Canis lupus familiaris: one gene and its partners. The protein of the gene in region 1 purifies or fractionates together with the protein of each later gene. This does not show direct contact. Links are inferred from orthologs where the notes say so. Each region holds a gene or a part of one and is shown in the gene's direction. Other genes may lie near its edges.

What was found. Proteins that work in one complex are often made in the same cells at the same time.
Region 2: the proteins of MEPCE (region 1) and SNRPG purify together in Homo sapiens (affinity purification with mass spectrometry; 3 studies listed by BioGRID and IntAct, counting the BioPlex papers as one, with this or other methods). This does not show direct contact. The link is inferred for Canis lupus familiaris from reciprocal best matches to the Homo sapiens genes MEPCE and SNRPG.
Region 3: the proteins of MEPCE (region 1) and HNRNPA1 purify together in Homo sapiens (affinity purification with mass spectrometry; 3 studies listed by BioGRID and IntAct, counting the BioPlex papers as one, with this or other methods). This does not show direct contact. The link is inferred for Canis lupus familiaris from reciprocal best matches to the Homo sapiens genes MEPCE and HNRNPA1.
Region 4: the proteins of MEPCE (region 1) and HNRNPUL2 purify together in Homo sapiens (affinity purification with mass spectrometry; 3 studies listed by BioGRID and IntAct, with this or other methods). This does not show direct contact. The link is inferred for Canis lupus familiaris from reciprocal best matches to the Homo sapiens genes MEPCE and HNRNPUL2.

Annotation. Positions count from the first base shown.
Region 1 is NC_049227.1:9,179,681-9,182,713, reverse strand, and holds the end of MEPCE (7SK snRNA methylphosphate capping enzyme), read left to right. Parts: intron 1-1,005; coding exon 1,006-1,224; intron 1,225-1,397; coding exon 1,398-1,524; intron 1,525-1,628; coding exon 1,629-1,681; 3' UTR 1,682-2,233; downstream 2,234-3,033. UniProt on the Homo sapiens protein: S-adenosyl-L-methionine-dependent methyltransferase that adds a methylphosphate cap at the 5'-end of 7SK snRNA (7SK RNA), leading to stabilize it.
Region 2 is NC_049231.1:70,134,688-70,139,129, reverse strand, and holds the start of SNRPG (small nuclear ribonucleoprotein G), read left to right. Parts: upstream 1-1,285; 5' UTR 1,286-1,337; coding exon 1,338-1,369; intron 1,370-4,442. UniProt on the Homo sapiens protein: Plays a role in pre-mRNA splicing as a core component of the spliceosomal U1, U2, U4 and U5 small nuclear ribonucleoproteins (snRNPs), the building blocks of the spliceosome.
Region 3 is NC_049248.1:45,637,886-45,642,302, forward strand, and holds the start of HNRNPA1 (heterogeneous nuclear ribonucleoprotein A1), read left to right. Parts: upstream 1-1,260; 5' UTR 1,261-1,513; coding exon 1,514-1,528; intron 1,529-2,079; coding exon 2,080-2,196; intron 2,197-2,503; coding exon 2,504-2,650; intron 2,651-2,779; coding exon 2,780-2,990; intron 2,991-3,088; coding exon 3,089-3,181; intron 3,182-3,277; coding exon 3,278-3,370; intron 3,371-3,631; coding exon 3,632-3,706; intron 3,707-3,899; coding exon 3,900-4,058; intron 4,059-4,417. UniProt on the Homo sapiens protein: Involved in the packaging of pre-mRNA into hnRNP particles, transport of poly(A) mRNA from the nucleus to the cytoplasm and modulation of splice site selection.
Region 4 is NC_049239.1:54,460,464-54,464,875, forward strand, and holds the start of HNRNPUL2 (heterogeneous nuclear ribonucleoprotein U-like protein 2), read left to right. Parts: upstream 1-1,255; 5' UTR 1,256-1,285; coding exon 1,286-1,826; intron 1,827-3,730; coding exon 3,731-3,866; intron 3,867-4,144; coding exon 4,145-4,221; intron 4,222-4,412.

The DNA of each region.
Region 1 (3,033 bases):
GCTCCTTTGTCATGACTACTGGTCCCAAGATGGGGTTTGACTCCTTTTGCCCTGCTCCTGTCCTGGACTGTAATCCACACCAGTCCACCTTCCCTTGCAGGCTGCTCCTGCTGCTCACTAGATTTGGTTCAGTTGGAAAGTTTTCTCAACGCACTGAATGCAGGTGCATGAAGGGATAGGTGTCAGACATGGAATGTTTTGGGGTGGGAGGAGGAATAGGGTGGTGGCTGACTAATACTTTGATAGGGACTTAGATCCAGAGTTGGTTGAAGAGTTGGTGGTCAGGACCCCAAGTAGTTTGGCCATAGGTCATCTCATGATGACCTGAGATCGTGAGATGGGGAGAGTCGGAGTCCTCTGTAACCGGGAAGGGTAGTCTTCAGAGTGTCTGTTCCCTGACTGTACATAGCTCTCCATAAAATACTCCAGTTAAGCCAACTGGTGGTGGCAGGTTGGGTTAAGCTTGCAAAAATGACTTTGCAGATGTTGATGAATTTATCATCTAGAAAAGGCTTCCTAAGGGCTGGGACTCTTCACTTCTCTTGGAGAAAGGAAATAGGCCTGGAACTTTGCCAACCTTGATTCCAGGGAAGGAACCACAGGTTGGTTCCCTTTCAAACCTGGGTTAGGAACCTTTGCAAAACATTGGGTCACTCAGCTTAATGTTTGCAGGGTGGGAATAAGTACTAGATGGACTCAGGAGAACCCTCATTTTTTTCCTCTGATGTTTCACCCCAGTTTGGAGACCTCTTTTGGGTAACTTGGTCAATGTAAAATGATCCACACTCCCTTTTTATGTTTGGCTTATCACCACCAGAAAGCAGGGGCAGGAGGATGTAAAGCAAGAAAATGAGGCTGGGAGTTAGTCTGACAAATGTCAGAGAAGGTTGTGGCCAAGGGCTAAGGCTGTAGGACTTTCTGTTTTGGAGGCTGCTGAGCAGGTTGTGTGGAGGCAGTGGTTCTTTTATTGCCTCTGTTGACCTTGCCCCCAATTCTTGCCCTCAGGGTAACTATGTGCTGGATCGAGATGAGCTGGTGGAGGCCCAAACACCTGAGTATGATGTGGTGCTCTGCCTCAGCCTCACCAAGTGGGTGCATCTGAACTGGGGAGATGAGGGGCTAAAGCGCATGTTTCGCCGAATCTACCGGCATCTACATCCTGGGGGCATCCTGGTCCTAGAGCCCCAACCTTGGTCATCCTACAGCAAGAGAAAGACTCTGACGGTGAGTTGGGAATTGGGTGGATATTGGGATATCCTTCTTTTAGTTGGGGCAAGAAAGGCCTCAAGAAAGGAGGAATACTTTCTGAACAAGGTGGACAGGTTCCCTGGGTGGGCATCACTGTACACCAGGGAAGAAGCCAACAGGCTGACGTGGTCCCCTGCCCTTCTGCCTAGGAAACAATCTATAAGAACTACTATCGAATCCAGCTGAGGCCAGAGCACTTCAGTTCCTACCTGACATCCCCAGAGGTGGGCTTCTCCAGCTATGAGCTTGTGGCTACACCCCACAACACTTCCAGAGGTAAGGTTGGCTGACCTGGGGGAGGCGGGGAGGGGATGGTAAGGCAGATGCTGTGGAGTCTTGGAGTTCTGCCAACCCTTCCTGATTGCACATTCTCTCCTCAGGCTTCCAGCGTTCTGTGTACCTGTTCCACAAGGCCCGTTCCCCCAGCCACTGAGTGGCCCCCTGAACAGAAAAGTGTGAAGAAGTTGCCCACTGCTCTTAAGGACCTGGGGGAAAAGGAAAGTATCTCAAAGTCTTTCCTTTTGGCTCCAAAAATTGTTTCCTTTCATGGATCTGCAAAGAAAGCTTTTCCTACGTTGCTGCCCCAGCCTCCTCCCTACACCTCTGGCATCTAAGCAGCAAGCCCAGCTGTGCTGGAGTTACCGACATCTTCCTCTCTCCCCCAGCTCACTGGGCTGGATGGCATGGACTGTTTGCTGACCTCTGTTCTCCTAGGGTATGGGAGGTGGGCGGTATCAAGTTCTCTGGCCTCTTCCTCCTGCTCTCCAAAGGAGATTCCCCTTTCTCCTCAGCCCTTGTCCCTGGCTGTTGTTGCAATGGACCACAGATAGATGGACTGAGGGTTAAGTGAAGGGGAAGTTTGGCAGGGAGGCATGCAGGTACTGTGAAAATCCTTCCCTCTGCTCACCTCCATTGGGAGAGGGGGTTGGGTTTGGAATGTAAGAACAGCACAATAAATTTGATGTTTCAGGCAGTGGCCCCCACACTTGTGTCTGGCACTTTCTACCTAGTGGGAAAGGGTTAGTGCCTCCCAAAACACCTGGGTTTCCTCTGCCCAAACTGGAGTCTCAAGAATTAAGGACAGATTTTTCAGTGGTTGGGAAGATTGAGTGTTGAATGCTAGTCACATCTATACACAATGAGTCAGAACTCTAATCAAGAAGGAGAGGTATAATGTGAATTTTATGTGAAACTTAAGAGTTCATCTCCCCTCCCCCAAAAATGCATTGACAAGAATGTTTTGTGGGAGCGCGGGACAAAGGCTAACTTTGGAAGAATTAACAGTGGAGCTAAAAAAAGGCACTACTGAACAGACCTTCCCACCTGCTCCAGGGACACCCCCTCCCCCCCTTTTCTGTGATGTGCAATTAGATGACTAGGTAATTAACATGAAACTCTTCAGCATGTCCAGTGTTCTTGGGACTTTGATACTCACTTAGCAAATACTGAGCACTCCTGGATCTGGTGTAAACATGGACAAGGCTCTTCCAAGTAAAGACAAGGATGTAATTTCAATAACTGGGTGCAAATAGCTACTGCCTCTCAGGCTCCTGGAGCCAGGTAATTAAGAAAGAAGGACTCCTTGAAGCCTAACAGACTGAGACTCATCCACGTGTTAGTGATGAGAAAGAAGTAGTGCAAGGGCGCATGAGTGGCTCAGTGGGTTGAGCATCAGGCTCTGGATGGAGTCGCACTTCGGCTCTGGGCTGAGTGTGGAGCCTGCTAGCGATTCCCTCTCCTGCCCCCTCCCCACTGCACTCCCCTGCTCTCGCTCTCAAAAAAACA
Region 2 (4,442 bases), on another chromosome or scaffold:
GAGAGTTATTAGGTACTGGCTTTGGAAAAACCTGGCTTTTATGGAACAGAATGGGATGAAAACCTAAACTCAGTATTGCTTATTTTGCCCCCAAAATAACAGAGTCCTATTCAGACAATCACTTGGTGACAGGAAGGTCAAAGGAGAAAAAGTAGGCAACTCAAGGGTGGGCTGTGATCCCTTTAAAGCAGAAGAGGGGCAACCCCCCACCCCATTACCAAATGCCACCCTTGCCCCAGGACCTTTGCAGCAAGCCGTGTTCCTGCCCCAGCTCTAGCACCTTTTCATTTTGATAAAGACCTTACTGTCTTTTTACCAACTTAGTACTTGAAATGATGATATAGCCTGCGTTGGGTGTCTCAAGTCTGTGATCTATTTTCCTAGTGGTTCAGTTTTAAAAAATAAATAAGGTTTAGTTTTTTCCTCCACTACGGCGTCTCTCGTATGCGAGCAGTGAATCTACAACTTTCTTAGGATGCTTCTCTTTGTAATGTGTAAAATAAGTGTCTGAAGACGTCGTGAAGAGTAAAAACTCGCTGTGATTCAGACGCGGGACTGGTTCATTGTAAATGGGGGAAAACAGGACAAGCTAAGGCCCTGGGACTCGGAGTCCATTAATGTAAAAATAACCGTGGGAAGGCTAAACCATCCATTTCGGGACCGTAGCTGCTTGTAAGCAGCGAGAGGTGGGAAGTTGGGCAAATGCCACCTGTAGGATTTTGAGTGCTAGAATGAGGCTCAGTCTTTTATTCGTATTTAAATAGAGCCATTCCTGGACATTAGGGAGGAACTGAATTTTGGAGAATCATCCTCTACTCAGAATCACCGAGGCCTAAGTCTTTTTTTTTTTTTTTTTTTTTTTTAAGATTTTATTTATTAACGAGAGACACAGGCAGAAGGGAGGAGCAGAGCGCCCGATGCGGGGGCACCGCAGGCTGATCGACCTTGGCAGGACCAGAGCCCAGCCCTCCCGAGCGCGTGCGCACTGGGCACGTGCGAGGACGCTAACCCGCGCAGGTCGCAAAGCGAGGGATCCGCCAGCTGCGCCGACGACTTAGAGACCCAGCCCTTACGTCAGTTTCACCAATCAGGAAACGGAATTGAGGAGGCGACCGGAAGTCCCACCCCATGTAGCCCCATGCAGGCCAATCGCTGGCAACGCAACCGGAAACTCGCGGGCGTTCGGCAAGTCCGGGGGCGCCCTCAAAGTATCGCGGGAGGGAATGTGACCTCTGCCGGCGTTTGATTGGCGGCGGGGGCCGGTGACGTCAGGCGCCAAGCGGCGGGAGCGTGAGGGAGCCGTGTGGAGGCCTCTGCGAGCTCGCCGAGTCGGCGCCATGAGCAAGGCTCACCCTCCCGAGCTGAAAAAGTGAGTACGCGGGAGGGCCGCGTGCGGGTGGCGGCGTCCGTGCGCCGGGGCCCCGCTCGGGGGGCGGCAGAGCGGCTCCGCGGGGCGCGAGGACGGGGCGGGGCGGCGGTTTCCTTGAGCTCTGTTCTCGGAATCTCCCTCCGGGGCGCCCGGGGGCCCAGCGGGGTTAGCGCCGCCCGCGGCCCAGGGCGTGACCCGGGGTCACGGGTTCGAGGCCCGCGTCGGGCTCCCTGCGTGGAGCCTGCTCCTCCCTCCGCCCGGGTCTCTGCGCCTCTCTCTCTCTCTCTGTGTCTCTCTGTCTCTCTCTCTCTCTCTGGGTCTCTCATGAATAGATGAAAATTTAAAAAAAATAAATTTTTTTTTGATCTTGTGCAGAAGTTAAGACTTGGATGTCACGTGATCTGTTAACAGCGCTGTGGGGGAACGTTCATTTTTTTCTTTTTTTTTAATCCAAGAAAAGTAAGTTTTTTTCTTTTTTCCTGCATCCAGTAAAAATCCCCTCAAAACCGGATGTTCCTACTTGCGTGGGCCCGGGCTCGGGGACGCTGGGCCGAGCGTGTGCAGGGCCTCCCGAGTGCCTCCGTCTCGTGTCCGCCGCGCAGTCCCAGGATTTCTGCACGTGGTAGCGCAGAACAGGAGAACGGGACCCGGGGGTCGCTTTGTGAAACAGCCGTCCGCCCTGTGCGTGGGTCACGTCCTGCCAGCCTCGTGGAGGAGTCAGACTGCAAGAAAAAGCCGTATTTAGTAATTGTGCTTTTTTTTTTTTTTTTTAAGATTTTTTTTATTATTTATTTGAGACACAGGCAGAGGGAGAAGCGGGCTCCATGCAGGGAGCCCGACGCAGGACTCGATCCCAGAACCTTGGGGTCACGACCTGAGCCAAAGGCAGCCGCACAACCGCTGAGCCCCACCCCCCCCCACCCCCGGGCTGCCCAGGAAATTGTGCATTTAGGGGCGCCTTGGTGGTCAGTCGGTTAAGGGTCCCACTCTTGGTTTCAGCCCAGATCCTGATCTGCTGGTGAGATCAGCCCCGGTGGGCTCTGGGCTCAGCGTGGAGTCGGCTTGGTGTGTCTCCTCCTTCTCTGCCCCCTCCCCACTGCTCGCCTGCTCGCTCGCACGCGCACTCTCTCTCTCTCTCTGGTTCTCGCTCTCAAGTAAATCTTTTAAAGAAAAAAAATAGTTTTACATTGAAATGCATATTTGTATCAAAGCCATTTTTTGTGCAAGAACTCCGTGTATTTTAGCTGGGTCTGTTGAAGTGTTCATCGTGAGCCCGACGTTAAGAAAAATACAACTTATTTTGGAGTTCTGTCTAAAACTCTCTTTCCTTGACGACTTGGCAAAACCTTAGAAGTATTCTCTGGGTTCTTCACGAACTGGTGAGATGCTAATTATTTTTAGCAAAAGAACCATCCTCTACTTGTAATCTTAGATTACCTTTTTCATTTCTTAACAGGTGCTTTTGTTTCTTAACAGATATTTGAGAATTTCACAGGATGAAACTGGTTTTAATAATTTCTCTCATCTCTCGATCTCATGTACTTTGAGACCATCCTCCAAAATGACCTTCAATTTTTTTTCTCTTTTATTTCTTCACAGATATTTTCTACTCTTTTATGCCCTCCTCCTGGTTTAGCTTAATTCAGTGGTTCTTAACTGTGGGGTAGGGAGCCTGTTTCTACTGGCAGGCCGCTAGTGAGTAGAAGCTAGAGATGCTGCTGAACATTGTACAACGCGCTGGACATCACTCAACAGAGTTACCTGGCCCCAGATGTTACTAGGCCGGGGTGGAGATACTGAGACCTAACCAAATTCTCCATCCCACTTCCTAAAAATCACTGCCATGGTGGTATTGCCAATGACTGGACTCTGCTTTAATAATTTATGACTATCTGAACAGTAAAGTGTAGACTTGTTGGCACGGCGTTCAGGCTCTTCCATCTGAAATGCAAGGTGCCAAATATGACACACACTAGTGTGGAGTATCCCATTCTACAGCCAAAATGAACCATTTGCATTTGCTCAAACTTTCTTACTATGTGACTTTAGAAAATCTTTCTGACCCTTGGTTCCTCATCTGTAAAATAGTGATAATAACAAGATCTCACTTAGGGCTAAATAAGTTCATATGTGTTCTATTTGCTGTCTTTTATATATATCCTATTAAATTATTTTATATATACTACAACGTATTTTGGGGTGTTTTTTTTTTAAGGTTTCATTTATTAGAGAGCATGTGAGGGGAGGAACAGAGGGAGAGGGACAAGCAGACTCTGCACTGAGCATGGAGCCCTACTTGAGGCTCCATCTCACAACCCAAGATCATGACCTAAGCCAAAACTCAGGTGCTCAAAGGAGGCGCCACCCAGGTGCCCCAGGCCTGTGTCTTAACTTACCTTTGAATTCTCTCATACATTAAAATTGCATGAAATTTCAGGGGTGCTTGAATGGCTCGGTTGGTTAGGTGTCCAACTCTTGGTGTCAGCTCAGATCATGATCTCATGGGTGGTGAGATGGAGCCCCCTGTGGGTCTCCACGCTCATCAAGGAGTCTGCTTGATAGTCTCTCTCTTTGCCCCTACCCCACTTTTGCAAGTGCTCTCTCAAATTTTTTTTAAAGATTTTTGTTTATTTATTTGAGAGAACATGAGCAGGGAGAGGGGTAGAGGGAGAAGCAGACTCCCTACTGAGCAGGGAGCCCTTTGTGAGACTCAATCCCAGGATCCTGGGATCATGACCTGAGCCAAAGGCAGACGCTTGAATCACTGAGTCATCCAGGTGCCATTGAACAAATCTTTAAAAATTGCATGAAATGTCATATTTTCTAGCCTGTAACTGGAAGGGGTAAAAACTCATTTGACTGCATGACTTCATGCTCCCATAACACTGCTGAGATGGGATTTCCCCATTCAGATTTTTTAAGGCTTCAAAATCTGTATTTATTTTGCTATAAAATATTTATGTGTTGAGGAATATCTTGAACACCTAAGTATGATGCTTAATATTAAAACAACACTCCTTATTGTCTCAAATATAAAATAAAATAGCTATTGAATTGGATATGGTTTGATTAT
Region 3 (4,417 bases), on another chromosome or scaffold:
CTCCCCTGGGAGCCTCCACGCGCGGGGCGACCAGAAGCCCCGGGGTGCGTGTGCGCGTGCGCGTGCGCGAGCGCGTGGAGCGGTTATGCCGAAGCCGAAGCGACACGCCACAGAGTCAGGGTCTCCCTACCGGAAACGCGTGTGGGGTGAAGGCCCGAGCGCCGGGCGCCGGCGGCCACTGTGGAGAGAACGCGCGCCCCCGCGCCCCCGCGCCCTCCCGCCCGCTCCTCCACAGCCCGCAGCGAGGCCTCCCGCTTCCGCACCGCTGACTGGGCGACCCGCCCGGGCGCCGTCCGCAGGCCGCCCGCCGCCGGCTCCACAGCGGGGCCTCCCCCTCGGAGTCCGCCCGCCGCCTCCGAGGAGCCCAACCTACGGCGCGCTCGGCGCCCATTGGCTCGGCGGGACGCTGCTCAGGGCGCAGGGCCCGCCCCCACGTCCCGAGGGCCCGAGGGCCCGTCCGTCGGCGGCAAAGGCGGACCCGATTGGCCCGCGCGCAAGCCAGTCAGACTCCGGGCCGCGGAGCCCCACGGCACTCCCGGCCGGCAGACATCCCGCCCCCGCCGTCCATTGGTTGGCTGAACCCAGCGCTCCCCCTTTACGAGCCCCCACCCCGCGCTCCATTCATTTCACACAATAACGGGCCCAATTGGAGTCAGTTCAACACCTCGTATGAGTAGGCGAGACGATCCGCCGCTTACCCGGAATCGAGACCGGCCACTCGCGCCAACGCCTCCCCTGTTCCTCTGTGGCGAGGCCGGACCACGGGACGCCGCCGCCGCCGCCTTCTGCGCAACGCCAACCGCCCGCCAAAACGGATCCTTCCCTGCGCCTGCGCGGCCAATCCTGCGACCGGACCCTTTCTCCGCCCATTACGCCTGCGCAGAGCGGGGCGCGACTCCCGCCACGACGCAGGCGCCGTAGAGTCGCCGCCGTCTCCCGCCCGCCATTTCACGTGCTCCAAGCGCCGAGCGGAACTGGTTAGTGCGCCTGCGTAAACTCGCCATTTTACTACACATGCGCCCGGCGGGCGGTCGTTTGCAAAAAAAAAAAAAAAGAAAAAAAAATCACCTGATAACCTCGTTCGTAATATATTAGCATTTACCGTGCTTCGCCAACTGAGCGGAACATAATTTCGGGGCGGAATGGATTGAAAATTCATTTAAATACCTTAGGTTCGTTCAAATATGAATGACTGGTTGACGAGCCAATCACAGTAATTAGGAATAATATTACCCGGGAACCAATAGACCTGAAGGGGCGGAGCCTGCGTAGAACGCCCAAGCGGATGACGTTGCGCAGCAGTGCGGGGCTATAGACCAATAGCAGGGGGAGGCTATCGCAAACATCCAATCAGAGACGCTCAGGGGCGGAGTCTACCAATGCCTAAAGCGAGGAGGCGGGATAAAAAAGCGAGGCCGAAGGTAGGCTGGCAGATACGTTCGTTAGATTACTCCTTTCTGCCCCTGGACGCCGCCGAGTAAGCATCGTTAAAGTCTCCCCTCCCACCGCCGTCATGTCTAAGTCAGAGGTGAGTAACACGCTGTCTCCCGCCTAGTTTCCTTCCTCACTCCTTCCCTGGGGCCGGTAGGACGCGGCCTGGCGTGGCCGCTCGCGCCAGCCCGTTCGGCAGCCCTTCGGGGGCCGCCAGGGCCTTCCCCTCCCGAAGTTGAGGTCGCCATTTTGTCCTCGTCGTCGCCATGAGGCCGCCGTCCTGCAGCGCTTGGCTGTGGCGCCGGGCTGCGCCCTCCCGGCAGAACTCGCGGGCGCATTCGACGGGTTTTGTTTGATCGTGTCTCCGGGAGCGAGTTTCTTGCGGAGCAGCCGTAGTTCCCCGCCGCTTCGGCGTCCGTCCAGCCGAGTCCTTTTGTTGCGCGTGCGTCGGAGGGAGAGTCGGGGCGCATGCGCCCGCGGCCTCCCAGCCCCCACCGCTCGGTCCCCCCCGAGGGGAGAAGCACGTGGCCTCCCGTAACCCGAGGGAACAATACGTGCCTTGTAACGCTGCTGTCTAGGATTTTCCTCCCAACGGGACGGGGCTGGGCGTTGGGCGCGCCACGTAACGAGCTGTGTCCCCGCTCCTAGTCTCCCAAAGAGCCCGAGCAGCTGCGGAAACTCTTCATCGGAGGTTTGAGCTTCGAAACGACCGATGAGAGTCTGAGGAGCCATTTTGAGCAATGGGGGACGCTTACGGACTGTGTGGTAAGACGTGCCGGAGACGGAGGGCCCGGGAGCGAGGTGGCTTCCGCCGCTCCGACGGCGGTTAACGGGACTGGGGCGGAGAGCCGGCCGGCGCCGGAAGGGGTGGTCCCAGCCGCGGAGGCGCTCCCGGGAGGAGATGCACGTGTGGCGGCCCCGGGGAGCCGGAGGGCCTCGTGGGCGGGCGGGGGGGGGGGGGAGGGGGCGCGCTTTTCTTTTTTTTTTTTTTTTTCTTTTTCTTTTTTTAATTTGTAACTCAGCGTGAGAAGTTCCGGGGTTCTCCTCAGTATTCAGGGAGCTCACCTTTCAGGTAATGAGAGACCCCAACACCAAGCGCTCCAGAGGCTTTGGGTTCGTCACGTACGCCACCGTGGAGGAGGTGGACGCGGCCATGAACGCCCGGCCGCACAAGGTGGACGGAAGAGTCGTGGAACCAAAGAGGGCTGTCTCCCGAGAAGTGAGTGAGGGTTTATTCTTTCCTGGGCAGACGCAGAAGCGGGCCGCCAAGGGGACCTCGCGGTTAGGGGTGGCTTGGTCGGTGTAAATAACGGAATTGTGTCCGTCCCGTCCCCCCCCCCAACAATAGGATTCTCAAAGACCCGGTGCCCACTTAACTGTGAAAAAGATTTTTGTCGGTGGCATTAAAGAAGACACTGAAGAACATCATCTAAGAGATTATTTTGAACAGTATGGGAAAATCGAAGTGATTGAGATCATGACTGACCGAGGCAGTGGCAAAAAGAGAGGTTTCGCTTTTGTGACCTTTGATGACCACGACTCTGTAGACAAGATTGTCAGTAAGTGTCGGGCATGCTCTTTGCTACGGCTTCTGAAATCCATGTTACGTTCTAAAGCCTGAGGTCATGTTCTCTTGGAATTTTTTTTTTTTTTTTAGTTCAAAAATACCATACTGTGAATGGCCACAACTGTGAAGTAAGGAAAGCCCTATCGAAGCAAGAGATGGCTAGTGCTTCGTCCAGCCAAAGAGGTGCGTTTGTTCAGTTAATCCTTGCACGTGAGGATTAATTAACTGAGTGATTCTCCAATCCGTATAATGTAACATTTAAAACTTTTGTGTTTTAAGGCCGAAGTGGTTCTGGAAACTTTGGTGGTGGTCGTGGAGGTGGTTTTGGTGGGAATGACAACTTTGGTCGTGGAGGGAACTTCAGTGGTCGAGGTAAGTTTACCACTCAAAGTTAACAATAAATTTATACTTTGATTATCCCCAGGTCCCTTTTTCCTCTGCAGCAGATTAACTCCTGGCTTAAATTTTATCCAAGTGTAGATCTGGCTTTTTACTAACCAGAAAGTTAAATCATCAACATTGGGATCATTTTTGTAGCACAGGAAGTATCTTTATAGAATTCTACTTTAAAACAACATAGAACACGTATACTCTGTACACTTCATGGTGGTTTAAAACTCTACTTTCTTTCAGGTGGCTTCGGTGGCAGTCGAGGTGGTGGTGGATATGGTGGCAGTGGGGATGGCTATAACGGATTTGGTAATGACGGTAAGTTTATTTTAAGGAATATATAGGTGGAGTTTCGTTTGGCAACCTTTAGACTAGGTTAGTAGAGCTAAACTAGTGCATGATAAACAGCTCTGATAACAGCATGCTGTGAGCAGGCTTTTAGGCATTACACTTGCACAGGTTTTGACTGTGAAATACTTTTGTCTTATTGAGAAGAATTGTATTCTTGTAGGTGGTTATGGAGGAGGCGGCCCTGGTTACTCTGGAGGAAGCAGAGGCTATGGAAGTGGTGGACAGGGTTATGGAAACCAGGGCAGTGGCTATGGCGGGAGTGGCAGCTATGACAGCTATAACAACGGAGGAGGCGGAGGCGGCTATGGCGGTGGTAGTGGTAGGTATCCAGTGATCCAAGTACTTGGTGCAAAAGCTAGATTAGCCCTTTAGAGTTTATGTCCCTAAGGGGATTTAATGCTCTTAAAAAGCATCATGTGGTACGATGCATGGTATTTTTTAATGGGCTTGCTAATGCTACCTCCTCCTAGCTTTAAGCTGGGGCCGCCTCACTCCCAAATAAGATAGATGGATAAGTGGATAGTGGTGCCTTTAATCAGAATTAGATTAGTTTCCAGCAGGATTTAGTATATGACTCCTTTGGGATCTTAGGCACTTGGTTGATAGATCCAGCCTGTGTTTGCAGTGCCCTGGATGGGTACAAGCCTTCGAGGCTAGAGAATACGATCTGTTAATGCC
Region 4 (4,412 bases), on another chromosome or scaffold:
CGGAAACACCTAGGAGGCCCGAGGGGGAGTCCCGACAGTTTGGCGTCTAAGGGGAGGCGCGCATTGCGCCACGCCGCCCAATCAAAAGCGGCTTCGGAAAAGTAATCCCAGAACAGAGAGACTCCTGACTCCGGGAAACGGCCTAGGGGTGGTGGAAGGGGAGGAGGGCGGGGGGTGGGGGGGAATGGGTGATGGGCACTTAGGGGGGCACCTGACGGGATGAGCACTGGGGGCTATTCTGTATGTCGGTAAATTGAACACCAATTTTATTATTTAAAAAAAAAAAAAAAAAAGGAAAAGGAATCCCTCAGACACGACCCCGACTCTCTCCAGTCCCCCTACGGAACAACCCGGCAAAAAAAAAGTCCTCCTGGCAGCTTAGCCAATTGGAAGAATCCGGACGATCATGCACGACCAATCAGAATTGCAGATGTCGATTCAAGTTGGCCAATGGGAAGGCTAAATGGCGAGGTCCGGGCGTCTGTTGCTGGGTAGAGAAAGTGAAGGATTGCGAGAAGAGGGCCCCGGGATCACTGTATTCCTTGGTTTGGGGAAGCCCTTTGTGTACCAAACAGGAAGACAGTTGCTAGTAGGCTTTCACGTTGCAACAGCTGCCCTCCTTTTTCTTTTTCTCAAGTAGTTGCTGCACGTTTAGGCGGTAGGCTAGAAAGACTAGCAAACAAGCCCTAAGACGACCGCGCGATCGGAAGCCAGACGGGAGTAAGGGTGGTGACGGGGTGGGAGGGGCGAGTGGGAAGGGAGCTCCCCCGCGGCTGCGCAGAGCCCGGGGCTGGAAGTTCGGGAAGGCGGGCGGGCGCGCACACGCCTCGGTGCTACGAGGCACTTGAACTGTAGCCAGGCTTCCCCGTCTCCCGCTCCGGTGCGGCTGCGCGGTGAAACCACTGGCGGCGATTGGCCCAGGGGTGAGAGGGGGCGGGAGGGAAGGGGAGGGAAGGGGAGGGAAGTCCGTCGTCCTCGGCGCGCGCCCGCCCGCGGCAGGGAAATCGAGGGGGCAGGAAGGGAAGCAGTTCCCCGTTGCGTTGTTTCGGGCTCGGGGAGCCGAAAGGGGGAGGGGAGGAGGAGGGAGAAACAAACCCTACGTCGCAGCGGCTGCGCGCGGCCTTCGCTGCCTGCCTGCGTGCGTACGTGCGTGCGCTCGCTCGCGCGGGCTCAGTGCTGGCGCGTGAGGCGGAGGCGGGCGGCGGCGGCGCCTGCGCGGTCGGGCTCGGTCGACGGTTCGCAGGGGAGGAGGCGGCGGGAGGCGGAGGAGGCGGCGGCGGCGGCGATGGAGGTGAAGCGGCTGAAAGTGACCGAGCTGCGGTCGGAGCTGCAGCGGCGGGGCCTGGACTCGCGCGGCCTCAAGGTAGATCTGGCGCAGCGGCTGCAGGAGGCGCTAGACGCCGAGATGCTGGAGGACGAGGCCGGCGGTGGCGGGGCCGGGCCCGGCGGGGCCTGCAAGGCGGAGCCTCGGCCTGTGGCCGCGTCGGGCGGTGGCCCGGGCGGGGACGAGGAGGACGACGAAGAGGAGGAGGAGGAGGACGAGGAGGCGCTGCTTGAGGACGAGGACGAAGAGCCACCCCCTGCCCAGGCGTCGGGCCAGGCCGCGCAGCCGCCGCCGGAGCCCCCGGAGGCGGCAGCCATGGAGGCCGCGGCCGAGCCCGATGCTTCCGAGAAGCCGGCGGAGGAGGCCACGGCTGGGTCAGGTGGGGTAAATGGTGGCGAAGAGCAGGGCACCGGCAAGGGGGAGGAAGACGAGCCAGAGGAGCGGAGCGGGGATGAGACGCCGGGATCCGAGGCGCCGGGTGACAAGGCCGCAGAGGAACAGGGTGAGGAGCTGGCAGCGGAGCCCGTCCCCAAACTGCCCCCGATCCAGCACTCAGCCGTGCACCGCGGGGTCCGATTCCTTGTTCTCAATTGCCTGGAAGCGCAAGATTCCCGGCGCCTTTTGGTGGGAGTTCCCAGGGGAGTTGGCTTTCATTCTTGGCCCACCTTGCTGGAGGGTTTGACTGCCCCTGGTGGCCCCGCTCTCTGCAGGAGAGACGTTCCTGCCTAACTTGGTTCCTTAGTGGTAGTGGATGGAAGTAATTTTGCATGCGAACTGCTTGTGAGCTACCTGTGGAGCAGCCTGTCGCGGTATTGGTTATCTCTTCCTTAAGCGGGAATGCGCTGAGAGATTGGTGCTTACACGGACGGCCAGACCGGACTGTTGGAGGCTTTGGCCTTTGGGTTACCTGAGTATTGATATTTCCGTTTTAAAAATATTGAGCAATAGTCTAAGTTCGCTAAAGTTCGCTCCATCCCATTGCTGGAGCTTGAGCCACACGGTGAATCTGTAAGTCTAACCTTGCTCCTGCTTTAGCAGCCTGTGGTGTGAGGCTATGGAGTTTAATAGTTAACTAGTGAAGAGACGGTCTTAATCTAGTGCATTTAGAACTAGCCAACCCTCTTGGCTAGAGGTTTTATCTTGTCTGAATTCTTATGATTAAATTTAAATCTTTTCACTGAGTCCATGGATGGGAAAATGTGTGGATTTGCTGCACACTTGGTTAGTCTTTTACATTTTAGGTCCCTGACTTCCTGAATTGAAACGATTGAGGTGTTGGTGGCTCCATTGAGTAACCTGGGAAGAAAATGTGTGGAATTGCCCCAGGGAGTTAGTGACCTTTCTCTTTTCTTTTGAAGTGGTTGGATGGTTAGAGCTGATCCGTACCTGTCTGTCCGAGTAGGCAGGAAAACTAGAGCTGTTTCCGAGTCTTACTATGAAGTGGGTTGCCTTAGTTCTTATAAGAGATTTTTTTTAGGCTGCTATTAGTAATCATGGTATAATTGGAACCCATTCTAAGACAGTCACATGCAACTTGCAGATTGTTTGCTCTGTGTCCTGGAACAAAAATCCCATTACATAACCTTTGACTTAACGTGTATCCCAAATAGCAGATAAAAAAGGTTTTGAGAGAGAAAAGACCGCTTTAAATAAATTATTATTTTAAACGCTTGTTTTACAAACTAAGGAAAATTTTCAGATTTTTTTCCTCTTGCAGAGAATGTTGCTAAATATATGATAACACCTTTCTGCCCCAAATTATGTGCAGTAAAGATGCAGTATTATTTATGGGTCTCTTGTGACTTAATGGTTTGCCCTTGACAACTTTCAGTAAAGCCCATGGTAAAAATATAGCTTTGTATATGCACCTGAGTCCATTTGCTGTATAAGTAAATGCTGCGAAGGGCTGTGCATTCTAAGCTAGAAAGGCAAACTCTTTAAAACACACACACACACACATATTGAGACATCTATATCATGAAGCTGCTGAAGAGTGATGGAAAATGTATATTAAGTGCCTAGCTTACATTGAAATTTGACAAGAGTCTAAATTAACCTATGAAATTTTTAAAGACTTAGGGGATTTTTAAAGATGTCATATTGGTGGGAAAATCTGCAGGTTTGACCTGATTTAAGTAGATAAATTTAGAATGCAAAAATTGTCCAATTTTTATCTACTGCTCGACTGTAATTAGCTCATAATCATAATGTCCGTCCTTTTTTCTAAAGTACCAGTCAATGACAGGAGGATGATCTTTAGAAATAAACGTTCTGTGGATGCAGTGGGAATAACCTGGCTATTCTGATTAGATAGATACTCAGATCCCTTTTTAGTTTCTATTGGTTCTGAGCTTATTCTACACTCCAGTATGAAAACTGCTGATTTTCTTTCCCTCCTTTTTGTAGGAGATGACCAAGATAGTGAAAAGTCAAAACCAGCAGGCTCAGATGGTGAGCGGCGGGGGGTAAAGAGACAGCGGGATGAGAAGGATGAACATGGCCGAGCTTACTATGAATTCCGAGAGGAGGCTTACCACAGCCGGTGAGGGAAACAGCCCCTTTCGTTGAAAGGAGTGTCTGCTCTGATTTTGATATACCTGATGTTGATTGGAGAGAGGGGTGGATCTAAAATCAAATAGGCTTTTATAGGTATAAGTTTTAGATTGAATCTGTTCTGAAAGCTCCTGTTGCTGTTTTCATTGTTGAAAGAAGCTGTCTTTTGGAATTTTGTATTCACTGATAGTTTAAAACGTTATACAGACACCCATTAAGGAAGAGGACTTTGGATACACTGTATTTGCTTTTTTCTCATACCCATAGCTCAAAGTCTCCACCACCCCCTGAAGAAGAGGCAAAAGAGGAGGAGGAGGATGAAACTCTTGTGAACCTGGACACGTGTATGTATAAGGCAGATAGGTTGGGGTTTTCAGCCATACAGAGATGATTTTGGATGTTAAAATTTCATGGCCTGCAATTTTTAAGAGATGTAGCAATGGGAGACTTGTATCCATTCCTGACAACTAGGTTTATTTGTGTTCTGTTGGTGGCTTTTAAGTGTCAGGCTTTGGAATAAACAGATTGCTTCTAA